2 linked regions of the Struthio camelus genome follow. The protein of the gene in region 1 purifies or fractionates together with the protein of each later gene. This does not show direct contact. Links are inferred from orthologs where the notes say so. Each region holds a gene or a part of one and is shown in the gene's direction. Other genes may lie near its edges.

Evidence for each region.
Region 2: the proteins of CCT7 (region 1) and TUBD1 purify together in Homo sapiens (co-immunoprecipitation; 3 studies listed by BioGRID and IntAct, counting the BioPlex papers as one, with this or other methods). This does not show direct contact. The link is inferred for Struthio camelus from reciprocal best matches to the Homo sapiens genes CCT7 and TUBD1.

The regions. Positions count from the first base shown.
Region 1 is NC_090945.1:85,476,912-85,484,869, reverse strand, and holds the start of CCT7 (T-complex protein 1 subunit eta), read left to right. Parts: upstream 1-4,881; 5' UTR 4,882-4,999; coding exon 5,000-5,005; intron 5,006-6,819; coding exon 6,820-6,973; intron 6,974-7,958. Other genes in the region: PRADC1 (protease-associated domain-containing protein 1), read right to left, coding at 376-496, 1,082-1,249, 1,654-1,763, 2,383-2,483, 4,592-4,646. UniProt on the Homo sapiens protein: Component of the chaperonin-containing T-complex (TRiC), a molecular chaperone complex that assists the folding of actin, tubulin and other proteins upon ATP hydrolysis.
Region 2 is NC_090957.1:18,708,624-18,715,757, reverse strand, and holds the start of TUBD1 (tubulin delta chain), read left to right. Parts: upstream 1-4,124; 5' UTR 4,125-4,128; coding exon of another isoform or gene 4,129-4,249; intron 4,250-4,639; exon of another isoform or gene 4,640-4,833; intron 4,834-5,486; 5' UTR 5,487-5,509; coding exon 5,510-5,681; intron 5,682-6,277; coding exon 6,278-6,425; intron 6,426-6,839; coding exon of another isoform or gene 6,840-6,878; coding exon 6,879-7,095; intron 7,096-7,134. Other genes in the region: RPS6KB1 (ribosomal protein S6 kinase beta-1), read right to left, coding at 207-256, 3,647-3,718. UniProt on the Homo sapiens protein: Acts as a positive regulator of hedgehog signaling and regulates ciliary function.

The DNA.
Region 1 (7,958 bases):
ATCCCCGTTAGACTGTGTCCACATAATACTGCATCGCTCTAAATTGACAGCACAAACTACTGCTGGCATCGTATGCATCACAAAAATGTTTCTCGGGGAAGTGCTGGCCTGATTCTCTGCTCTGGGCCATCACCTCCCTCCCAGAAAGTCACTACAAAGGTTGTTCGATGCCACCGTCCAGGTCCCGCTGCGGGCGCTGACATTTGCCATTTGGCCAGACACCAGCGGCAGCGTGAAGATCTGCCCGCTGCTGGATCCGGCGAGGCTGGCGGCAGGATTTTTGGGAGCGCATGGGGCTCTTTCCTCAAAACCGGTCCCTGGGGCGAGCTCCTGGGATCCACCGAGAAGTCCGCGATGCTCCGTGGCCTCCCGCTGCTACCAGAAGGTCCAGGGGGGCTGCATCATTTCATACGTCGGGATGCTGGTGACGTTGACGGGGATGGAGATGACAGCCCATGGGAGCCCATGCTGTTCCAGGGAGCGCCGGATCATGTACCTGGAAGGACAGAGAGGTGACAGGCGCATGTGAGCCCCTGAGCTGGGAGAGCAGAGCCTGAACGTTATGGGTTAACGCAAGCTGCCAATAAACTCGAGGAGAAACTCCGTGGATTAAGCATGACTGAATCCATGGAAAATCTGGCTCACAAAGCCCAGACAGGACACACGGCTCACTGGGACCCCTCTGGTTCATGGGGACAAGGCTGTCACTTGGCCCTTCCCACGAGATGCTCTACACTTGGGAAGATCAGAGCATTGGGTGACCAGAACTGGATCTCAAAAGGCAAGGCTGTCTCTTGGAAAGGCTGATGTACACCAGGAAAACGCTGCACAGCGTCCGGGGTGGCACGGAGACCTGCCGGTCGCAGGTAGGCCATCCAAACCAGATCTGCTCTCAGAACCAGCCTCATGCCAGCCCAGATGCCTCCAGCCTCCTAAGAGAGCTGTGGCACGCACGGAGCTAACGCAGCTACCTGGACACCGCAGCAGGTTCGCGGCCGGCCGGCTAAAACCCGCTGAACCCACGTGCGCCTACCTCCGCAGCGCCGTGCCCGAAGACACGTCCCTCGGCCACGATACCCACCCGTCCCTGCCCAGCAGGAAGAGCGCGGGGATGTCCGCTGTGCGCCTGGTGCTGTCCTGGATCATTTCGATATAGAAGCTGTCGTTATCGTAGGCGTTATCGGCGATAATCACCGCCCGTCCTCCGTGCTCCTGGATCACGCGCGTCTTCGACAGGAACGAGCAGCCCCTGGGGCACAGAGCCACAAACGTTGTCTACAGACGTGGGAGCCGGGCACCTCTCAGACAGCAAGTGCCGGAGCTTGCCCGGAGACGCCCAAGACGCGGGCTGGCTCCCCGGCACCGCGCGTCCCCCAAGCCCTTTTCATCCTTGAGACCGGATTTTAGCAACAGGACTGCCCAAACTGTGCTGGTGGGCTGCTTTCTCCCCCAAAATAAGGCTTTTTCCAGCTTGGCGTAGGCTCTTTTCCAAAAGACTGTCGGGACAGCTTTGCAACCCGGGGAAGCAGCTGGAGGCGACGGTAAAACGTGGCTGCTAACACAACCGTGGCACCGTCACCCTCCGTGCCGCAGGCAGCCCCCTCCTGCCCTGGGTGCCCCCCACCCAAAGAGGTCCCGCGGCGCCGGACCTACCCCCGCTCCACCAAGGCGATCTGGTCTTGGATGAAGACCCCATTATTCAGCTCCCCACAGGCTTCGGGCGGATCCGCCGGGACCAGGTGGATCTGGTCGTACCTTGTGTTCTCCGAGGAAGAGACAGGCAGGGGTGAGCGAGGAGGCCGGCGGCACGGCGCCGGGGCTGCTTCCCATCGCGAGCCCCGCGGCGCCTGTCCTCGGGGCCCCCGGGGAGCTGCTGTTCCCGTCCCCGCGCGGGATGTGCCGTGGGACCCCGCAGAGCCACCCGAGGGGAACCCGCAGACCTCGCTCAATAGCTCGCCCCCATCACCGTGGGGAGGGGAAACTGCGGCACGGCACCATCCGGTGAGTTGTGCGAGGCAGGGAACGGCGATAGAGGCTCTCGATGCCCAGCCCCGGGCTTTGCCCCGGATTGGGGCAGCCCCTTGGCAGGAGACGGGGAGCCCTTAGGGCTCCGGGAGCGCACGCGTGTGCGGACACGCATCCGTACGTACGAACGCTCCCAGGGAACGCGTGCGGAGGCAGAAACGCGTTCGCATGGCCCAGATCGAACGGGAGCACCTCTAACGGCAGAGACGGGCGCGTGCCTCCTGCCTAGGGCAAAGCTCTCGGAGGAAGCCCGTGCAATCAGCTCCACTTCGGTAAAGGGCTTCACATCAGCCAGCCCCGCAGCGCAGAAATGTAGGGACGGGGGGGCTCCGAGACAAATCCGGTCCTTATACTTACAAACACTCCCCCAAAATCCTTGGCCGGAGTGGCAGTGAAGATGTAGCGGATGTCTCCGGGACTCAGCACTTGGAAATACAAGTATTCATGGATGCGTAAACCTGCGCGTGCACGGAGAGAGATGAGAGGCAAAGAAACGGCAACGGCAAACTCCTCCCGTGAGATTTCAAGCCGAACGCGCAGTCACAGCCTTGAGATGTGGTTCATCCCGGGGACCCTCTTTTTTTAACCCATTTTCACACCGGTTTGCAGGCCCGGAGATGCAGCGCCGGGGAAGGACCCTTGGCACCAGGGCTGCAGCTGCTGCACAACCAGCGCTTGCGAACTGCAGAAGGCCCTGAGTGCCGCGGGGAACCGAAATTGTTTCGGGAGTTCCCGGCACGCTTTCATCCAGGCACCCGGCTCAACGCCCACTGCTGCGGGTCGAGCGCGACACGAGACCTCCCTCTGCAGCCTTGCGTAACGCCGGCTGCGTGCCGGGCTCCACGGCGGGAGGAGGACCCGAACCACTGCTGTCGGAGCTGGGTGCGTCGTGCCGGGGCCTTTTCCCATCTTAAACCACTGCTTGGTCCCGACACCCAGCGCCCTGGGCCTCTCTCACGTGGGGTTTCCCCCTTCTGTAAACCGCCGGCAATTCAGACAGCTCCCTGCCTCAATTTCCCTCTATAAGGAAAGAAGATTTTATGTGATAAAAAAATGCAAAGCCTCGCCGCGCAGGCGGATAGCTCGGCCGATGGCCCACGACCTCCTGCGCTGTTTGGGCAGCCGATGCACAAGAAATGAGACATTCGGGCAGGATGCAAAGTCGGGGCCAGGCAGCGAATGCTTTAGGGCCAGCAGCCCCTCGGGGCCGTGCGAACACCTGCAAAGGGCGCTGGGGCGTTGCTGGCGGAGGGCAGAGCGAGGGGACTCTGCTGCCTCCCCGCAGCCTCTTACCCCGGAGCCAGCTGCCTTCCTGCCTCCAGCGGCTCTGTCCTGAGCATGCAAGGAAAAGCATCCGGGTTGGGGTGCCCCAAGGGAAAATATACCGGATCGAGGTGCTGGGAGGAGAAACGGAGTGCACAGAGGAGACGGGGGAAATGCATGCAGACTGGGGTGCACAAAAAGGGGAAATGAACCCGGATCTCCTAGGGGACAGGAGTGAAGTGCATTTGATCACGGCGCTGGGTAGGTGAAATGCACCCGGACCCAAGTGCCTCAAGGGCAAATGCACCCAGTGTGGGATGTCCCAAGGATAAATGCACCTGGATCGGGGTGCACGGAGGGGAAAGGGAGAAAATGCACTCGGATCATGGAGGGGCTAGGGGTGAAATGCACCTGGACTGGGGAGAACAGAGGGGAAATGCACCCGGATCGAGGTGTCAGGAGGAGAAATGCACCTGAACCTGGGTGCATGGAGGGGAAATGCACCCAGACTGGGATGCATGGAATGGAAATGCATCCAAATTAGGATGCCTCAAGGGAAGATGGACCTGGATCGAGTTGTCAGGAGGGGAAAATGCATCCGGACTTGGATGCATGGAGGGGAAATGCCCCCGGAAGGAGGTGCCAGGAGGAGAAATGCACGGAGACAGGGACGCACAGTGGGGAAATGCATCCAGTTCAGGATGCCCAAGGGGAAATGCACCCGGATCGAAGTGCATCAAGAAGAAATGCACCCGGATCGAAGTGCATCAAGAGGAAATGCACCCGGATCGAGATGCATGGAGGGGAAATGCACCTAGATTGGGGTGTTCCAGGGGGAAATGCACCCAGATCGAAGGTGCTGGGAAGGGAAATGCACCCAGACCGGGATGCACGGAGGGAAAATGCACCCAGATTGGGATGCACAAGGGGAAAGGCACCCAGACCGGGATGCACGGAGAGGAAATGCACCCAGATTGGGATGCACAAGGGGAAAGGCACCCAGACCGGGATGCACGGAGGGGAAATGCACCCAGATTGGGATGCACAAGGGGAAATGCACCCAGACCGGGATGCACGGAGAGGAAATGCACCCAGATTGGGATGCACAAGGGGAAATGCACCCAGACCGGGATGCACGGAGAGGAAATGCACCCAGATTGGGATGCACAAGGGGAAAGGCACCCAGACCGGGATGCACGGAGGGGAAAGGCACCCGGATAAGGGTGCCCGAGAGGGAAATGCACCCGGGCGCAGGGCAGGCGGACGGGCGGCGCGGGGGGAAGCGACCGCGGGCCGGACTCACCGCGGGCCGGGCAGGAGCAGAGGCAGAGGCAGAGCCAGAGCGAGCGGCGGAGCATGGCTGCGCCCCGCGCCGCGCCGCGCCGCTCCCCCGCCCCCGCCTCCGCGCCGCGCCCATTGGCGGCGCCCCCCCGCGCCGCGCGCGCCCATTGGCCAACGCCGCCGTCAATCCCGCCCCTGCCATCTAGTGAGCTGCGGGCCGCCGCGCCGCCGCACGTTGCTGCCTCTCTATGGTTTCTCGCGAAGGAAGGGAGCCTCGCTCGGGCGGCTCTGTCTACGGCCTCACCATGGAGTGCGGCCGGAAGCGGTTACCTAGCAACGCTCTCTTCCCCTCCCGCCCTCGGGAAGCTTCTGGGCGGGCGCGGGGCATTGTGGGAGCAGGGCCTGGCTGCGCCGGGGGAGAGCCGCCGAGATGATGGTGAGTGGCGCCCGCCTCATCCGCCGCCATCCTCTGCCTGGCAGCGGCCTCCTCCGCCCCCGGGGGCCGTTGCTGGCGGGGGTTAGTAACGGGGCCGGCGCGGGTTCAGCCCCCGGTGAGGGCGGCCCCGCCGCTGTCTTGTGAGGGGACCAGCCGGGCCCGTGAGTGGCCCGCGGTTGCCGCCGGGCTGCCGCGGGACTACCGCTCCCATCAGGCTTTGCGCGGCGAGCGCCGCGGCTGAAAGGGAGCGGGGCGCGCGGGGCAGGCCGGGAGCTGTAGTCTGTCGGCGCGTGTACAAGGGTGGTGTCCCGGCCCTGGGGCCCGGAGCCGAGCCCACCGGGCTGGGGTCGGGGCTCAGAGCGGCCCATGCTGGGAGTTGTAGGCCGGAGCGGGCGGTACGTGGCGCCCCGGGGCCTCAAGTCGGGGCCTGAGCTCGGCAGCCCGCTTCGGGGCGTGGAGGGACCCGGTGCTGCCCCGGTCCGTGCTGAGTCCTGCCTGTGCCCTGCCGGTGCTGCTCCACGAGGGTTGCGTGTCTGCCTCTAACCTGATTTTCCCTAGGATGCAATCGACTCTGTTCCCTTTAGATTTCTGTTCGGGAGCTTGCCAAGGCTTAGGTAGCTCTGGCTGCGGTGCTCGCGCCCGTCTTCCGCTCGCCCGTCAGGCCCTCGGCTCCGGTCTTGTTGCTCTTTAGCACAACGGTCATCGTACGGTTTTGCTCTCTGCTGCAGATGGCTCTTTAAAACTGAGCGCCGAAGAAGCTTCTGGTTCGTGTGGATTTTGAGCTTTGTCTTTAAGGCACGTTTAGTCCGTTTCCTAGAAATCCTGAAAAGGGCTGCTGCGCTCTTGGAGCACAGCAAAGAGCTGTTTGCCGTGGCCTTTGAAATCTTGTAGGCTTTGCTTGTATTTCTAAGCTGTGTCCAGTTCAGTTTACTGTCAGGCAGGTGCAGTCACTTGTGTTCATCCCCCCTGTTTCCTCTGCGAGCAGGGAGGTGCGTTGCAGCAGTTGCCATCCTTGGGGTAGCTTGGACTGTGATCTGAGAGCTCTTGCGCCTGTTGTGCTGTACATCTTAGGAGACTTAAGTAACTCATCTGGGTTGTAGCTTGTGCAGTTCCCTGCTGCCTCAGTAATTATTACACATACTGTCTCTTATGGTGTAGAGATCAAGCGTAGCACAGAAATTAGACCTTCTCTGAGCTATATGATGGGGAAAGAAGCCCGCTTGTTTTGTGGACAGTTACAATACAGTCCAAGGGCATACAAACAGAAGCAGTTGGGTAGATTCCAGTTACTTTATAGAAGCAAGTGACACCTTGCCTTGGAGCGGTTTGACTGCATCCGTAATGCTTTCTAGGTAAAGTTGAACCTTCAGCCTTTCATGGAAAAGTGCTCTAGTACATTTCTTTGAAGCTACAGGAGTTCAGTCAAGATAAAACTTCAAACAAACACGGAATGCTTGAGAACGTGGAAGTAAACTTTTAGAGGAATTGCTTTGTGTAACAGTGGCAGTTTGTGGCCTTCTCTCTCTCAGGTTTTTTTGTAGTCACAGTCTTACTTTGAAGCTCTAGGCGGGTCAATAAGCTCAGTAAAGCAAGATGCTTAGGGATTGGGATTTTTTTTGTTTTATTTTTGCCACCAGGCCTTTGAGGGAACTGCAGTTTTTGGTCTTGGGAGTGAGAGAGCTGTTGTGCAGCTAGTTTCTTGCATAGGGGAAAAATACCTTTTTGAGCAGCGATAACTTGCTGGGCTGCCTGCAGAGTTAGCACTGGGCTGTCTGAGATTGGAGTTACAGCTCTGCTGTGGTTTGTCTCTTCAGCCAACACCCGTTATCCTGCTGAAGGAGGGCACGGACACCTCACAGGGGATCCCCCAGCTCGTCAGTAACATCAATGCCTGCCAGGTTATCGCAGAAGCTGTGCGCACTACCCTAGGACCCAGGGGCATGGACAAGCTCATTGTGGATGACAGAGGTAAGCGCTGGGTGACAGCTTTTCACGGCTATGTAGAAACGTGACTCGGAAATAATCTCCAAGTGTAACGCACACTGCTGGCACGTGTTTTTTTGCAGCCAGGGGCTAGAGCATGCAGAATGCAAACAAACGGACTTGGATGTTGTACTGTTCATGGGAATTCTGCAGTGAAATTTGATTCATACCTTCATATTAATTAAAACAGTATTTGCATATATACAGACTTCAGCTTCGTTGCCGCTTGCTATTCTCAACTCTCATAATACAGAGGTTCAGTTTCTGCATCAATGTTCAGTTTGAAACCTAGATCCCAGCCGCAGCTGGTGAAGAAAAATAATTGACAGATTTACTTGAGGAAACTACCTGGTAGTTACCTACTAGACTGAGTTAAGGTAGCTGAATTCTTTCTTGTGGTACTAGATAGATCTAGGGTTAGCATGACTAGACGGGCAGAAGTCCATGCCAGAAAGGAGGAATGGTGTGTTTTGAAGCTAGTCTTTGGGTACCCCTGACCCTCTCTTTCTAGGTTTGTTTTAAGATGAGGCTCGTGACACATGTAGAGTTACTCAGCTCTTGGTATGACTGAGTGTGGGGTGGATGGGGGTTACTAGGGTTGATGTTTGGGTGAATTGGGGATGGCTCCCAGCCCCCTCTGAGAAGAATTGTGTTAAGTTGCCACGCTAATCTATTCCTTGCACTTTTTTTTATTCTTGTGTGAATTGTCCTTGTATTACAGGTCCTATCTGTAAAAGCAGTTATTTGTTTTAAAAAGGATCACTGAAGTTTTATTTTAGCTTAATAACTAATTCTGTTGATTTCTAGCACTTTTCAGTCATGTGTCAGACTAGAATATCTGAGAGAGATGTGTATATATATACATATAATTTTTAATCTGCATGGGGAGGCTATTGAGAAATGAGAGGGGATGAATGTAAAGCTCCTGTTAACTGATATGAGTAGTTCTGTACTTAGACAGACTTCACTT
Region 2 (7,134 bases), on another chromosome or scaffold:
AGGATTAAGAGACAACAGTAGGTTTTGCCATATTTTTTTTATTATTTTATTTCAAGATACAGTTCACAAACTTTAACGTGAAGAAATAGTGGAACAACTAGGAACAACTCAAAATTTTCTGTTGAACTTAACAAACATGTCGATATACTTAGAGATTATATGTAGTTGGTATGAATGATACAGAACATTTTCTAGCAGCAACTTACAGGTCATATTGGCCAAGTCCTCCGTGGTCCATGCTCTCACTTAATTGTCCCTGGGGAGGGGAGGGGTAAAAGGAAGATTAATTATAATGTAAGAAACAAAGCAGTGTTAAAAATAAACGTAGTGATGTGTTTTATAACTTTTTAGTTTTTATTATTATTAAATTAGTCCAAACATCAGAATAATGAATTATCACCAGAAGATAAGACATCTACAAAACTCTGCAGAAGAGGTGCGACATTTCCATGTATCTCAATGACATGGGGAACCACTGTTTTACCTGACTGCACTGTTACTCAACAGGTAACAACTTCATTCCCTTCCCCCCAGGGATCCCGAAAAATTTTAAGGTACTACAATTTTTTTTTTACATTTGCTTTCACATAAGAATTTTAAATTCCTGTTACAGTATTATGCAAATTAGAACTATAATCAAGTAATCAAGATTATGTAAATAGAGGAATCGGTATTCACGCAAACCAGAAACCAACAACTGATTGAGAAGGCTTTACTATTCCATACTGATGATTAGCTAATGTCAATAGTAGCAAAATAGCTAAGCTTTACTCTCATGATAAATGCCTCTACTGATCAATAATCATTCAGATAGATCAAGGCATGCAAACATTAATAAAGGAGCCTCCAGTACGTCAACCTAAGTACTAGACATCGTTAAAGAATGTAGTTCAATTGAAGATATACTTTCTTAAAAGAATTTTTGACTTGATTCCTACGAAATGCGATATAGTATCTCCCTCTTTAATTGTGACTCTACATGGCAAAAAAGTGCAAACCAAGCAGACAGCTGGAATGAAAACAAAGAGAATTTAGTGTGTAAGCTTCCTAATGCGTTACATTTTTATTTTTAAAAATATATACATAAAATAGAGACTGCCAAGTTTGTGAGAAACAGTCTGGACTCTAAGGACTGGATACAGATATAATGAATGACTTGTGCAATCCACAGAGAACTAGACGAAAAAAGCCATACAGAGATCTGCAAAAAGCAGACTAAGCTAAGGAGTACATTTTTGGATATTATGTAAATGAAAACACTAGCCAAAGAAAATGATGAACTTTCAATAGCTTCCAAACCAAGTAAACACTAAAGCTTACAGAGGCTGGTATATTTTGGTGGGTGAGCTGGAGGGGAATTTAACTTCTGGTTCGACCTACTAGCACCACCAGCAATTACAGAGTCCAAAAGTTCAAGTCAGTTTCCAAGTTGGAAAGTTGCTAGCTCATGTCCTCTTGATAACATTTATTAGAGAAATCAAGCTTATTGACATCTGTTTCACAATAAAATACACCAAAGCTGCCCTTGACTCTACCGTTAGATGACAAAAACCAAATTCAAAAATTCATCAGAGATGGAGAATAAATATCCATTACATTTCTAGATTTTTTTCCTTCTTGAAGTTACCCACTGGTTCTGGCAAAGCTTATGCATGCTATTCTTACCCCTGCTTTCGTTCTCAATACTAACGTAAGCAAAATTCACTTCAGATACTGGTCCGTTATTTGCAAGGACTTTTTCTCTTGTTGTTTAACAAAACCAAGAAATGAAATGGTATGCTGGCTAGAAACCCTTCAGTTTGTAGTTATTCTTTCATTTAGTACAAACAAAAACATAAAGGTTTTATTCACTGTAATAACTAGTGCAAACAACCATATCACTTACAAGTAAACTCTCCACCTAAATACTTGTTTTTACTTCTAGTTTTACTTCTAGTTGCTCTAGAATAGCCATGCCTGTGTAAAACTACAACTGCTCTGTCCTTGAGGCTACGAGGGTTACAGTTTTCAGGAGCTGCAAAGGCCCAGCTCTGGGCAGACTAGACTAGATAAGCCTGATTTTACACCTTGCTCACTTTGAATTTAATGATCTCAACCTCTCAGTCTGCAATGTCTTTCTGACCCTTGAAAGACATGCACAATGCCTGTAGACATAGATTTCTGCTAAACGTTTTTCCCAGAACACTTTTCTGATGCTTCCCCTTCTTTCCTGCTCTTATAGTCTCTGCTTTCTGGTTCTGTTTTAATTTTAGGTCCATTCTAATTTTTCCTTATCTGTTTTCCAAACACCTAATTCCTCTGCTGATTTTATTTTACTGACATTTCTCCAAACACTAGAAGCAAGCATGTAACATTGAATGTGGCTATCACAGGCAAACATTCATTTTTTGTGCCATCCGAGAACCGAGTCAGGTCGCCAATGAACGTTCATATTCATAGAAGTTGTGCTACAAATATTTTTTTTTTTTTTTAAAGTTCACAATAACTAATGAAATCTTTAAATCATTCCTCAGAGTTACACTTTAAGACTGAATTATTGGAACATGAGGGAGAATTAATTCACTTTTCTTGCAGTCCCCCTTAGAACCTGTTCTTGGCAACATTAACAGTGTGATGCAGGTGACTTTTTTTTAAGCTAGGTACTTTATTGATTACTGAGGTCACAGATAGTGTTTTCTCCTACAAGTCGAGAAACTATGTGCCTTCCATTGTCAAATAATATCTCCGCAGTTTATACGTACAGTGTACATACTCCAACTGTGATACAGAGCACTGGGTTATCTCAGAGATTCTAAGTACGTCATTAAGATTTACACAGCATAAAATGAATGCAATAACACTTTAAGCAATACCAAAACTTTAACATACAGAATGATATAAAAAGCCACAGTAGCACTAGAAAAATAGAAACAGAAATGCTGTAATAAAATTCCCCCAAAGCCTTAACAGAATCTGTATGAAACACTAAAACGACGAAGTACGAGTTACAAGGTGAACTGTGCAAGAAAAGCGTTGAGATGGGGAGGCGCGCTGATCTGCATAGGCGTCTAGCACAGCACTTGAACGCTCCGCATTTAATTTTGGCGCTAGAGCAAGGGCTTTCTACAGTTCCAGAACGATCAGCATTTCTGCACTGCCGTTAAAACGTGACGAGAAAAAAAAGAAGAAAAAGCAAAAAAAAAAAAAAAACCACAAGACCCTTACTGCGACACCGTTGTGCTAGAAAATCCAAAAACAAACTTTTGTGGGTAGGGGGTGTGGGGGGGAATAAAGCTCCTGCGAGTTTGGCGCGGCCCCCACCGGCGGGGAGCCCCGGCCGGGAGCCGCCTGCAGCCCGGTGCCTGGCTGCGGCCGGCACCTGCCGCTCCCGCCGCCTGGGAGCCGCGGCGAAGCCGGGCCGGCGCGGAGCCTCCCACCGGCGGCGCTGACAGGGCGGCGCGGCGCGGCCGGGACAGGGCGCGGTCTCCTCACCTGCGCGGGCCGCGGCGGCGGCCGGCGTCGCGCTCCCTCCCTCCCACCCGCCCGCCCGGCCCCCGGGAGCGGCCTCGGGCGGCCGCCGCGCCCGCTGCCCTCAGGCCTGCCCCGGCGCCGCGCCCCGCGGCGGCCTCCTCCCGCTCCCGCCGCGGCGCGGGTTCCCCCCTCTCACCCCCTCCTCCAGCTCCTCGTCCGAAGCCGCGTCCTCGGGCTGGTCCAGGTCGATGTCGAAGACGCCCGCCATGGCGCGGGTGTGAGCAGCGGCGCCGCCGCCCCTTCCTCGCTGTGCTGAGTGCGCGGGGCCTGGGCCGCCTCATGGGCCCGCACCCCCCAACTCTACCACGGCCGCCATCACCGGCTGCCAGGCCTCAGCGCGCCTGCGCCCCCGCCCCGACTCCCGGCGCCGCGCAGGCGCACTGCGTCACCCGGCATTGGTGAGGGGCCGCATTGAGCATGCTCAGTGGGCACCCCGCTGGGTGACAGCCCTCGGGGCCGGAGCGGAGCATGCGCAGCACGCGCTCCAACTCCCTTGAGCCTGGCACGGAGCGTGCGCAGAGGGCAAGAGGCGGCCTTTCGCTGCGAGCATGCGTACTGCGCTCCGTGAAGCCCGCCCGTCTGACCCTCGCCCCGACCTGCCCGAAGTTCCCTCTGAGCATGCGCGAAGCGGGTTGTTCGAAGGCGCGTGTCGGGCCGAAGCGGAGGGCTCGTGCAGGAAGGGGCTCGCGCATGCGCTGTCGGGCGCCCCCCCCCGAGCGCCTCAGCGGGGGGTGTCGAGGTCAGCCCTGAGGGGAGCTAGGGGCCGAGCGGGGCCGAGGGCGGCCGGCCCTGTCCGGGCCGGGGGGACCAGCACCCTGGGGAGGGCCGCTGTGCCCGCGGGCAGGCGCGGGCGGGCGGGGGTCGTCGAGGATGAAGCGGCTTTGGAAGGGGAGAGGTGGCGGCGCGAGGTGGGCAGCAGCGGCGACATGGCGGCCCCGGCCTGTGGCGTGAGGCGGCGGGCGGGCGCCCCCCGGGGCGCGGTGCCGACGCTGGGCGCGGGCGGCCGGGGAGCCGGGGCTGCCCTCCGGCCGCACCTGGAGCATTTTCGGAAGCTCGTGTACAGCTTTATTTATTTCCTGCCGCGAGGAGTAACTCTGATACGCGGCCTGGCTTTAAAGGGGGGAGGTGCGGACTAGCAGAAACGCTGAAATCCAGCATAGGAAGCAAAAACAAAAGCAAAAACAAAACCAAAAAACACATACCTGCCTACAAAGTGCGGCAGGATCGAATTACAGGAGCTGGTGGTTATCCCAAGAACGCCGTTACAGATGTGCTGTGGCACAGCTGGGACGATAATGACAAATAGCAGCCCAGAATAATGAAGTGAGTTCAAATATTGACCTTGTCTTTGTGGAAAAAGAAAAAAGTGAGAAACCAGAGTTACAGCAAAAAACTGAGTGGAAAAATGGCCAAGCATGCCAGTATCACTCTGGTTGGAGGAAGGAGTATGCTCTAGGGGACTCTTTTGTCACTTCAGCTGGTTTTGGCATCAGCTGGTTTGGCTTCAGCTGGTTTTGTCACTTCAGCTGGTTTTGGCATCAGGCCCCCAGCAGTAGGACTGGAAATCAGCTGGCTTTGCAAATGGGCTGCACATTTCTAAAGGCATCTAGTACTTTCTTAGTATAGTTATTATGTTCTTATAGCCTCATCCTCGGGCTTTGCTGGATTTCTAATGATTATTTTTTACTCTGCCTTACTAAGCGAAAGTGAGAAAATAGAGACTTAACTTTGTTTGCTGTATGGTTGATTTCAGTTCTGTTAAGATATATAGCAACAGTAAACAGACTGGCTTCCTCTAAATGGTCACCGAGATTCTTCTGACATTCAGGATGAAGTCTTACAGACAGCATTTCCCCAGGAACAAGCAGTTGTTGTAGCATAGCCTTTTCCTCCTCACTAGAGTTGGCAAAAGTTACAAAACTGATCTGAATTTTTTTTTTCCCAGAATAACTAAAAGGCATGCTTTTCCTTTTTAGGGTTAAATACAAAGTGAATAAGAATGTCAGTAGTCACAGTCCAGCTTGGTCAGTGTGGTAATCAAATTGGGCACGAGGTGTTTAATGCTATCTGCAGTGACGTCCATGGCACGCATGGATTGTGTTCCAAGAAGGAGAATGAATCATACCATGACGCTTGCAAAGAACGCTTTTTCAGTGAGGAGAAAGCTGGAGGTACAGCGTTTAAAGACTTTTGTTTCCCACAGAGGGTCTTGTTTCTAGCCTAGCATAGTTAAGAATACAGAAATAACATACACTTTTACTTTGGTTGAAGAATTTTGCCTTCATTCTTAAAGACTTGTCACAACCATCTGTCCTCATGAGGCCACTTACAAAGGCAAAACCACAGTGCAGTAAAGCACCTGAGGCCACAGAGCAAGTATGCCAATAACAGAGCTGGAAACTGAGCTACCTATACGTAAATCTTTCCTTCCAACCTCTCCTTTTTTCCAATTTATGTAGATAATAACATGGAGCATGGTCATATCAAATCCCAGTTCTGTGTTATGAAAGGGATAGTTTTTTTCATGAAAGGTCTCTGGAGTTCAGATCTCTTTGGAACAATAGGTGGTGCTCTAGAAACTTGGAATGTTGCCAAGTTCTGCTTTCCATACTTTTCTGTACTGTCCCATTGAAGTTGACAGTTCAGTTTATATGGGTGGGAGGAATACAGTTTGGGCCTTGGTACAAGCCTGTCTGTCTGTTTGTCTTATGTAAACAAATTCTAAGACTGGCATATTATTCTTAGTTTTATTTTTCTTCCTCTCCAGTACCTGTTGCCCGGGCTGTGCTTGTTGACATGGAACCCAAAGTAATCAGCCAAACCTTATCCATAGCTGCCAGGTCTGGCTACTGGAAATATGATGATCGATCACACTTCTGTCAGAAACAAGGGTCCGGGAACAACTGGGCAAATGGGTATGAACAATCATTTCAAGCTTTGCTAACATAACTGTGGAGGGTGATGAGCAGACTAGACGCTGTAGGAATGGTATTATTGCAGCTGTGCAAGTACAGAGTCTGTAACATTAGCTTGTTTTATTTTTACGACAGAGTAACAATATGTGTAATAGCAAAATTTCTGACTGCTTTTTGCAACGTGAAATTGGCATTCACAGTGAAGAATATTTTAAAACTGAGTGATGAATATTATTAAAAAAGAGAAAACAACAAGCACATTTTACAAACAGCTGTTTTTTTTACAACACAAATGTCACAGCTGAGGATTGTTTCTGACAGGTAGAATTGGTGACACAATAGTAGGTTATATAACTAATAAAAAGAAAAGCGTGCTTTATGAATAGGTTGATGTTATTGCTTTTATTTTAATAGAATCTGCCATGTCTTGCTGCCTTCTCTGTTATTCAACAGTTACTCTGTTCACGGGCCTAAACACAAAGATGTAATCATGAATCTGGTACAAAAAGAAGCAGAGAAATGTGACCGTCTCAGTGGATTTTTCACAATAATGAGCATGGCTGGTGGTACCGGATCCGGCCTGGGAGCATTTGTGACCCAGTGTTTAAGGGATGCTTTTCCAGCCTCGTTTATACTAAACCATGTTATCTGGCCATATGGAACTGGTGAGGTGAATGTCATATGTACCTTACATATTCTACAAAACTTT